Linked DNA regions of Ovis aries. The protein of the gene in region 1 binds, or shares a complex with, the protein of each later gene. Links are inferred from orthologs where the notes say so. Each region holds a gene or a part of one and is shown in the gene's direction. Other genes may lie near its edges.

Region 1 (3,746 bases):
AATATCAAGTGTGTTTATTACAAAATCCTATAGAATGAAATCAATTTTAAAAAGCCATACAGGGACTTCCCTGGTTGCCTTCCAATGAGGGGGCCGTGGGTTCCATCCCTGGTAGGGGAACTAAGATCCCACAGGCTGCTGGGCAACTAACCCCTTGCACCACAACTAGAGCAGGAGCCTGCCTGTCACAATTAGGCCTCAGCATAGCCAAAATAAATAAAATAAAAACGTAAAAAAATACCCACACAACCATCTTTTGGCTTTATTCCCAAGTTTTGATTAAAAATTTTATGTATTATCTCATTCAGTCTTCACAACAATCCAATGAAAGTAACCCATTGTGGTAGTTCAATTATTATTCCCATTTCCCAGATGTGAAAACCAAAACACAAGTAACTTGAGTAACCAGCATTAAGTAAAGGACAGCAATAAAATAGTAGAGCACTGGCCATGCGGTCGCTTCAGGCTGCAGGAGTGAGGCAAGGCCAGCGCCACAATTTGGCATGGTCCAATACATTGCAGGCTGTGGACAAGGGCAGTTGTCTTTTTCGCCGCTTTATTTTTATTTTTACCCCTTTACGCTGCTGCTGAATCCCAAATCCTTTTCTAAGAGAGTTTACAGGGATGGGGGTTCGGAGTTCAGAAACCGGACTTTGCTTCAGAATTTGCCATTGCTGGCGGTGCTGTCTCGAGCCAGTCATTTATTTAGTTTCACTGCGTCTCCTGTTTCAGTTGTGTAGGGAGAGAGCTGGAACAATGTTCTCCGAATTTTAGGTGATGGTGAATAGCATTTAAAGTCGCACCATTTTAGCTGCGGCTACTCAACTCCAGGAGTTGGTGATGGACAGGGAGGCCTGGCGTGCTGCAGTCCATGGGGTCGCGCAGAGTCGGATACGGCTGAGGGACTGAACTGAACTGACTCAACTCCTAATTACGTCCCGCCCCCAATCGTCCTTCCGTTGTCATGGAGATCGGGACGCCCAAGTTGGTAGATTTCCCTCCCGCGATACCTGGGCGGAGCACGGGATGACGCATGCGCGTTCTTGGCGGCCGAGGCGCCGCGGTGCCTACCGGGACTGAGCTCCCGGCCACCCGATCAGGAAGTGGCGGGCGGAGCCGGGGGAAGAGTCGCCGCCTCAGCCGCCGCTTCAGCAGCAGCCGCCAGTGCGAAGACCCCCGAGCTGGCGGGGCAGCGCTGGGCATGCGTGCCGGGCGGCGGAGGCGCTGACAACGAGCCCGAAGCGGCAGCCACGCGGGCGTGGGCGGCTGGTCCAGGCGGAGGCTCTGGGAGGCGGCGGCGGGGCGCGTGGGGCGGCCCTCCTGGCTCAGGTAGGAGCTGCGGACGCCGGGTTTGGGGCGCGGAGCCCCAGCCTGTTGTTCTTCGGGGCCTCCTCCCATTCCCGGGGGCACGCGGCCTCCCATCCCGCGGGAAGCTGGGGCTGCGGTTCCCTGCCCGAAACGCTTAACCCGGTTACAGCCTCTCGGGAGCATTGTTTCTGAGGCCGGAGGTTCAGTGAGCAAAGTTTTGGGTTGGAAAGAGGGGAAATTCGAATTGGAGCGCTGGTCGTGCCTTTCCTGAGCCCCCAAACTTACATTAGCTGTAGCCGCACGGACCAGGTGTGTGGAGTTTGAGGAACCGCGGCGCCCAGCCAAGTAAAGGCTGTGATTTAGGCGCTCCTTCACGGATTTTTTTTTTTTTTTCCAGCTTCCTCTTGGAAACCTAGTTTGGAATGATTCCTAACCTTGAGTTATAATAGTTTTCTGCAGAGTCTAAAGACATTTTCCAAAACAAGTCGCTGCGGTACTTTTTTCACTTCCACTTCTACATTGCTGTCTTTTCAGGGTTAAGCAGTCTCTTATTCTCAGCTTGCCGGCTATTCAAAGCACTATTGGCCCCTGCGAGGCTCAGGCAGGCAAATGAAGCAAGAGAGAAAGAGTTGAAAGGTTGAAAGAAATCAAATGATAAACTGGATAAATGATAAAGTCAAATGATAATATGGGAGGAATGTGGGCTTTGCAGTTAAAAGATTTTCACTGAACTTTTGGCTTCTCAGTGAGGGAACACGTGAACTCACTGAGTTGTGGCAGTGATGTGTGTTTTAATGTAAAACGGGGAAGTTGATGTGTCCTGTTTACTACACAGGACATATGAAACTCTACAGATGCGGAGTAGTCTCATGAGAAAAAGGTGGAAAAGTTAGAGCATGTGATGGTGAAAGACATTAAACCTTCTGTTCTAGGGACCATTGAACTTCACCCATACCACGCAGGTCGCTTTTGTTTTGGAGGCTTTTACCAGTTTTAGGTCTGGAATAAGGAGCACCTGGTTTAGGAATCAATCTCCTGGCGTCCAGGCTGTGTACTTTCAGCTGTGTGATCTTAACTCTGTGTGATAGGATACATACCTGATACCTCATAGAGTTGTGAGGATCAAATGCTGTTAACATCCAGGTCTTTGTAAGGCTTTTATTATGTTAATAATAAATTACATAATAAACAACATAGATTTTATCTATGTTAAAATCGTGATTATAAAAGCCTGGGTTAATAATCTGTCTTTACAAAGTGAAATCAGCAGATGTTTGTTGTTTTAGGCTTGTTCCCCCCCCCTTCCCCCACCACATCATTGGGGAATTCTCCTTTCTTGTTCTAATACACTTTCCCTCCCCCAAGACTGTCTTCTGCCTTCCTCACCTGAGTATAACACTGGGTTATTTCTTTTCAGATCCAAATAATAGTTCTGAAATAACACGTTGGTCTAGCTTTACTACTTAAAAAATCACTTTCACAAACATGTTCTCATTTTATTCTTACAGTTGGGCTAGATGTAGACAGCATTGGTAGTATCCTCATTTTACTTATGATGAAATTGGATTTAGAGAAGTCTAGTGGATTCCCTAGGTCATATTACTGTTAGGGGTCAGAATTTAGGGAGGTCTTAGATTCGAGGTCCAGGGTCAGTGATTCTTCTTTCCTGAACTAAAGTTTGACAAGTTTATTTCTTATCAGTGCTTTTATAAAATTTTATTGAAGTATAGTTAATTTACAGTGTTTCTAATTTCTGCTGTATAGCAGAGTGGCTTAGTTAAACATATACTCTTTGTCATATTCTTTTCCATTATGGTTTATCACAGGATATTGGACATAGTTCCCTGTATTGTACAGTAGGACCTGTTTATCCATTCTGTATAATAGTTTGCATTGGCTAATCCCAAGCTCCCAACCCTTCTCTTCTCTCCTCCCCATCTTGCTTGACAACCACAAGCTTGTTCTCTACAATTGTGAGTCTGTTTTTGTTTTGTAGATGTGTTCCTTTATGTCATGTTTTAGATTCCACAAGTAATGAAATCATATGCTATTTGTCTCTTTCAGACTTAGTGTGATAATCTCTAGGTCCATCCATATTGTGCATATAGACTATTTCATTCTTTTTCATGACTGAGTGATATTCAGTGCTTACATTTTTAACTTTTAGCGTGCTAAGTCACGTTTTATTTATTCATTGCTTTTTAAGCAAGTTGTTGAGTGCTTTCACATTCTCAAATGTAAGCTGCTTACATGCAGGCAAGGATTTATCTTCCAAAACTTTCCAAAGGCTGCAGTGCGGTACAGTGCCCCGCAAACAGAAGACATTTAATAAAGGCTTGTAAAACTTATTAACAGAGAGGCTAGGGCAATTTAAAGATGTTCTTCTGTTTGTTAGTCATTTACAAAATACTTATTGAGCTATCCCATGCCGGAAAGCT
Region 2 (3,746 bases), on another chromosome or scaffold:
GCGGCTGCGGCTCTGCGCGCCGGGTCGGGAGGGGCTGGACAGGCCGGGGCTCGGTAGGGCCTGGGGCGGGGGCTGCCGAGCCGTCTAAATCAGATTCGGGCCCAATCCCTCAGCGGCGGTCCCCTCTCTTGCTTCACCGGAGGGGCCAACGGCTGACTGGCCAGGAAAGGTCCCTGTGCTCTGCTGGGGGGTGAAAAACAAAGCTAGGGGAGAACTCGGAGGGGGTCGCTAGGCCCAGAAACGGAGGTTGCTTGGAATTAGGACCCTCGGTCTCTCTCATCCCCTTCCTTTCTCCTTCCCTTCTTTGCGGGTCCCCCAGGAGCACCCCCAGGGAGGTGCACTTTGAGCCACCTGGCCTTCGGCTAGTGCGGGGGGTTGGGGTGGAGATGGGGAGGGAACGGGAATGGGTGAGGCCAGAGGGAAGGGAGGTCTAGGTGCCTGGGAGGCGGGCGTGGTGGGGACAGAGGTCGCTTCTCCCTGGCAGGGCCCAAAGAGAAACCGGAGTAGGTGCTGACGTCTAGCAGCCATGGGGGAACACGGCCTGCTGGGGCTTTGTGTTCTGTATGAGGGTCCGGAGGACAGAGCAGAGGGGGTGAGCACTAGTGTATGAGCAGCGTCAGGGAGAGTGTCAGGAGAGGCCAGTGCCCAGGAAACAGGCAGTGTGCAGGAGGAGGCAGCGCCGGGGTGAAGGGGCGCGCGGGAGGTCGCAGGGGGCTCCCGGGTAAGGGAGCAGTGCCCAGGAGGGGGCCGAAGTGAGAGCTGGCACCCTAGAGGAAGGGGCAATGTAAAGAAAGAGGTGGCATCTGTAGGATAGGGTAGTGCCAGGATGAAGAAGCCCGTAGGAGAGCTTGTCTAGAAGGAGAGGACCGTGGTAGCGGAAAGGGAAGAACAGAGCTTAAGGGGCAGGGCTCGAGGAGGGCAGTGGGTTTGGGGTTAATGCCCTGCTGAAGGGGTGGTGTGAGAGAAGAGAGCAGGAAAGGGGACGGTGCAGGCTTTCCTCTTCCCCATGGTGACATCATGGCAAATTCCCAAACTGGAGGGACCCGGCTCAGGTGACATCCAGCTGGGACGAGCCGGCCCGGGCCGGCCTGGGTGCCAGCAGGAAGGGCTGGGTTTTGCGCCCAGTCGGGCCAGCGCCCTGGGGGCGGGGTGCTGCTCCCCTCACTCTCTGTGCGGACTTGCCCTCGGCGGGCACGCAGACCGGCACAGTAAGGCTCGGGCCGGGCTTCTCTGGGCCAAGGATCAAGGTCCCTGGCTGGGGCAGGCCGCTTGAGCATTCCAGTCTTCCAGACCCGGCTTCTGAAGAGGGCGCAGTAGAGCCTCGGGAGAGAGCCGGACGCGACGCCACCTCTGTCGGAGGTGGGACCCATCGTGTCGCCGCCGGGGGCGGGGTTTTCTGGACCCGAAACCAGCCCTCAATTCTGAAACCTCTGGGAAACAATCGTTCGGGGCGGAAGTTAAGAAGCCCCGAGAGCTAGGCAGCGGAAGTGGCTGCGGTACAGTTCTTCTATGCGCATGCGTTATTGTATTCCTTTGCCGCTGCCGTTTCAGCGCTGCGTCGTCTTAGCGCGCCTCTTTTCCTCCACGCGAGGGGGTGCGCTACCCCTAGTCGTCGTGGTCAGCGCGCCCAGTCCCTCTGCTACTCTCGTGGCCCCCTCACCATGGCGGGCATCCTTTTTGAGGATATTTTTGATGTAAAAGACATTGACCCGGAAGGCAAAAAGTTTGACCGAGGTAAGCAAGGTTTGGAGGGGCGGTTTCGGGGGAAGGGGCTAATCTCCTCTGGTACCCGCCCCCAGGCTGCTTGTCCACCCACTTTCGCGTGGCCTTTCCCTACCGGTGGGTCCTGGTGTGGGGACCTCTCTCGAGAAATAATTTTATAGATAAGAAAACGGAGACTCCCGAGCTCTCCCTGGTTTCACACAAGCTGTGCTCGCTGCCTGGGTGGCCTTTTCTGCTGGTGCTGGTGGACTCCAGGCATCTTTTATAATCGCTCCCCGCTCTGGACCGGGCGCTGTACTTAACACTTCGCACGCGCTTTGTCTCACTTATTTTCTTCCAGGAGTAGGCGGTGTCTTACCCATTTTGCTCTGAGAGGCTAAGCAGCCCACCCAAGGTTGTACAGTGAATAATCCGACTTCACAACCCGTTCCTCAGAGTCTTTAGCTGTTTGTAAAATCTTCTCAGAGTTTAAGAGTAGACTGCTTGGTATACACCTCTTTATTCTGTCATTTATCAATAATTGTCCTGGGTGTCTCTTCCTTTGCCTGGACACTGATAAGTTCTTCGGGACAAACACCAGTTCTTACACATCTTGATAATCAATCCCCTTAGCACAGCACCTGACACAGGAAGAGGAAACCTTAGGATGAATGAATACCTTGCCCCAAATCAGGTTATTTCTTAATCACTTAGGTTGGCCTAGAACCTGGATATTATTTATTGCCAGAGGATCTTTGATTCTTTTCTGTGGATTCTGTCCACTGGCCACAGGTTGTCTCCCCTTTCCTTCCTGCATGTGTGATTCTGATTGAGCCTGTACTTCTGTGAGAGCAGATGAGAGGCCAGTGGATACAGACTGCATTAGACTGAGTATTCTGTTGCATCCAGGCCCCTGAAGTACCTGTCTGCCCTGCCCTGTAGGGTCTGCCCTGGGCCACAGGCAGTTAACTTCTGCCACTCTTCCCCTCCAGTGTCTCGGCTGCATTGTGAGAGTGAATCTTTCAAGATGGACCTCATCCTTGATGTAAACATTCAGATTTACCCGGTAGACTTGGGTAAGTATTGAACACAAACAGCAGGAGGCTTTATGCCATCTCAGCTGGTCTCCACCCTCTGCTACCGCTGTTGTTTTCAGGTGACAAGTTCCGGTTGGTCATAGCCAGTACCTTATATGAAGATGGTACTCTGGATGATGGTGAATACAACCCCACAGATGATAGGCCTTCCAGGTGAGGGGATGGAAAAGGGAGCACCTGAAATGTGCCTGAGGACTAAGTGGATAGGTGTATAGAAAAACCCTTACTTAATTCATGAAATAAATGATTATCAGCAGACTCTGTTAGCTTAAGAAAAGTGCAGCACTTAAGAATCCAGACATCCAGGTGTTTATCCAAAGCAGTGATTACAGTGTGAGTTGTCACTTTTTGATAGTGGAGGAAATGAGCACTGAATGACCTAGGCTCTGTGGGCCTTGTGTCTTGGGAGGGAGTTTGGTGTGATGGAAAGGCTTTGGACGCCCACTCAGTTCACATCTCAGCTCTACCACTTATTTGTTGGATAACCTTAACCTCCTTCAACCTTAGTTTTTTCTCATCAATAACATTGATGGTCATACCTAGCTCACAGGGTTGCTGTGAGGATTGAATGACATCACGTTTAGAAAGTGCCTGGTGTTATGATGCTGGCGTATAGTTACCAGTTACCATTTTTTTAAAGGGCCTCTTACTTTTGTTAACTGTATTTAAGAATAACTGCCCCTATTGTTCCACAGGGCTGACCAATTTGAGTATGTCATGTATGGGAAAGTGTACAGGATTGAGGGAGACGAAACTTCTACTGAAGCAGCAACACGCCTGTAAGTTCCTTGGTCTTGTGAGAGCCCTTTCCCTTCTCATTTTGTGAGAATTTGGGCTATGCTTTGAAAATCTGGACCATCCTCAGGCTCCCTGGATTTCTTTCTTCAAGCACCTCAGACCTAGCGGGACCCAGAAAGGAACTGTTTTGGGAACAGTTTCAGTCTGAAA

Evidence for each region. The genes of interacting proteins can lie anywhere in the genome.
Region 2: GTF2E2 (region 1) and POLR2H share a complex: the UniProt entries of both Homo sapiens proteins name them as parts of the TBP-based Pol II pre-initiation complex. The link is inferred for Ovis aries from reciprocal best matches to the Homo sapiens genes GTF2E2 and POLR2H.

What each region holds. Positions count from the first base shown.
Region 1 is NC_056079.1:25,926,794-25,930,539, reverse strand, and holds the start of GTF2E2 (transcription initiation factor IIE subunit beta), read left to right. Parts: upstream 1-1,098; 5' UTR 1,099-1,329; intron 1,330-3,746. UniProt on the Homo sapiens protein: Recruits TFIIH to the initiation complex and stimulates the RNA polymerase II C-terminal domain kinase and DNA-dependent ATPase activities of TFIIH. Both TFIIH and TFIIE are required for promoter clearance by RNA polymerase.
Region 2 is NC_056054.1:203,612,751-203,616,496, reverse strand, and holds the start of POLR2H (DNA-directed RNA polymerases I, II, and III subunit RPABC3), read left to right. Parts: upstream 1-1,527; 5' UTR 1,528-1,661; coding exon 1,662-1,734; intron 1,735-2,693; coding exon 2,694-2,777; intron 2,778-2,857; coding exon 2,858-2,951; intron 2,952-3,493; coding exon 3,494-3,577; intron 3,578-3,746. UniProt on the Homo sapiens protein: DNA-dependent RNA polymerase catalyzes the transcription of DNA into RNA using the four ribonucleoside triphosphates as substrates.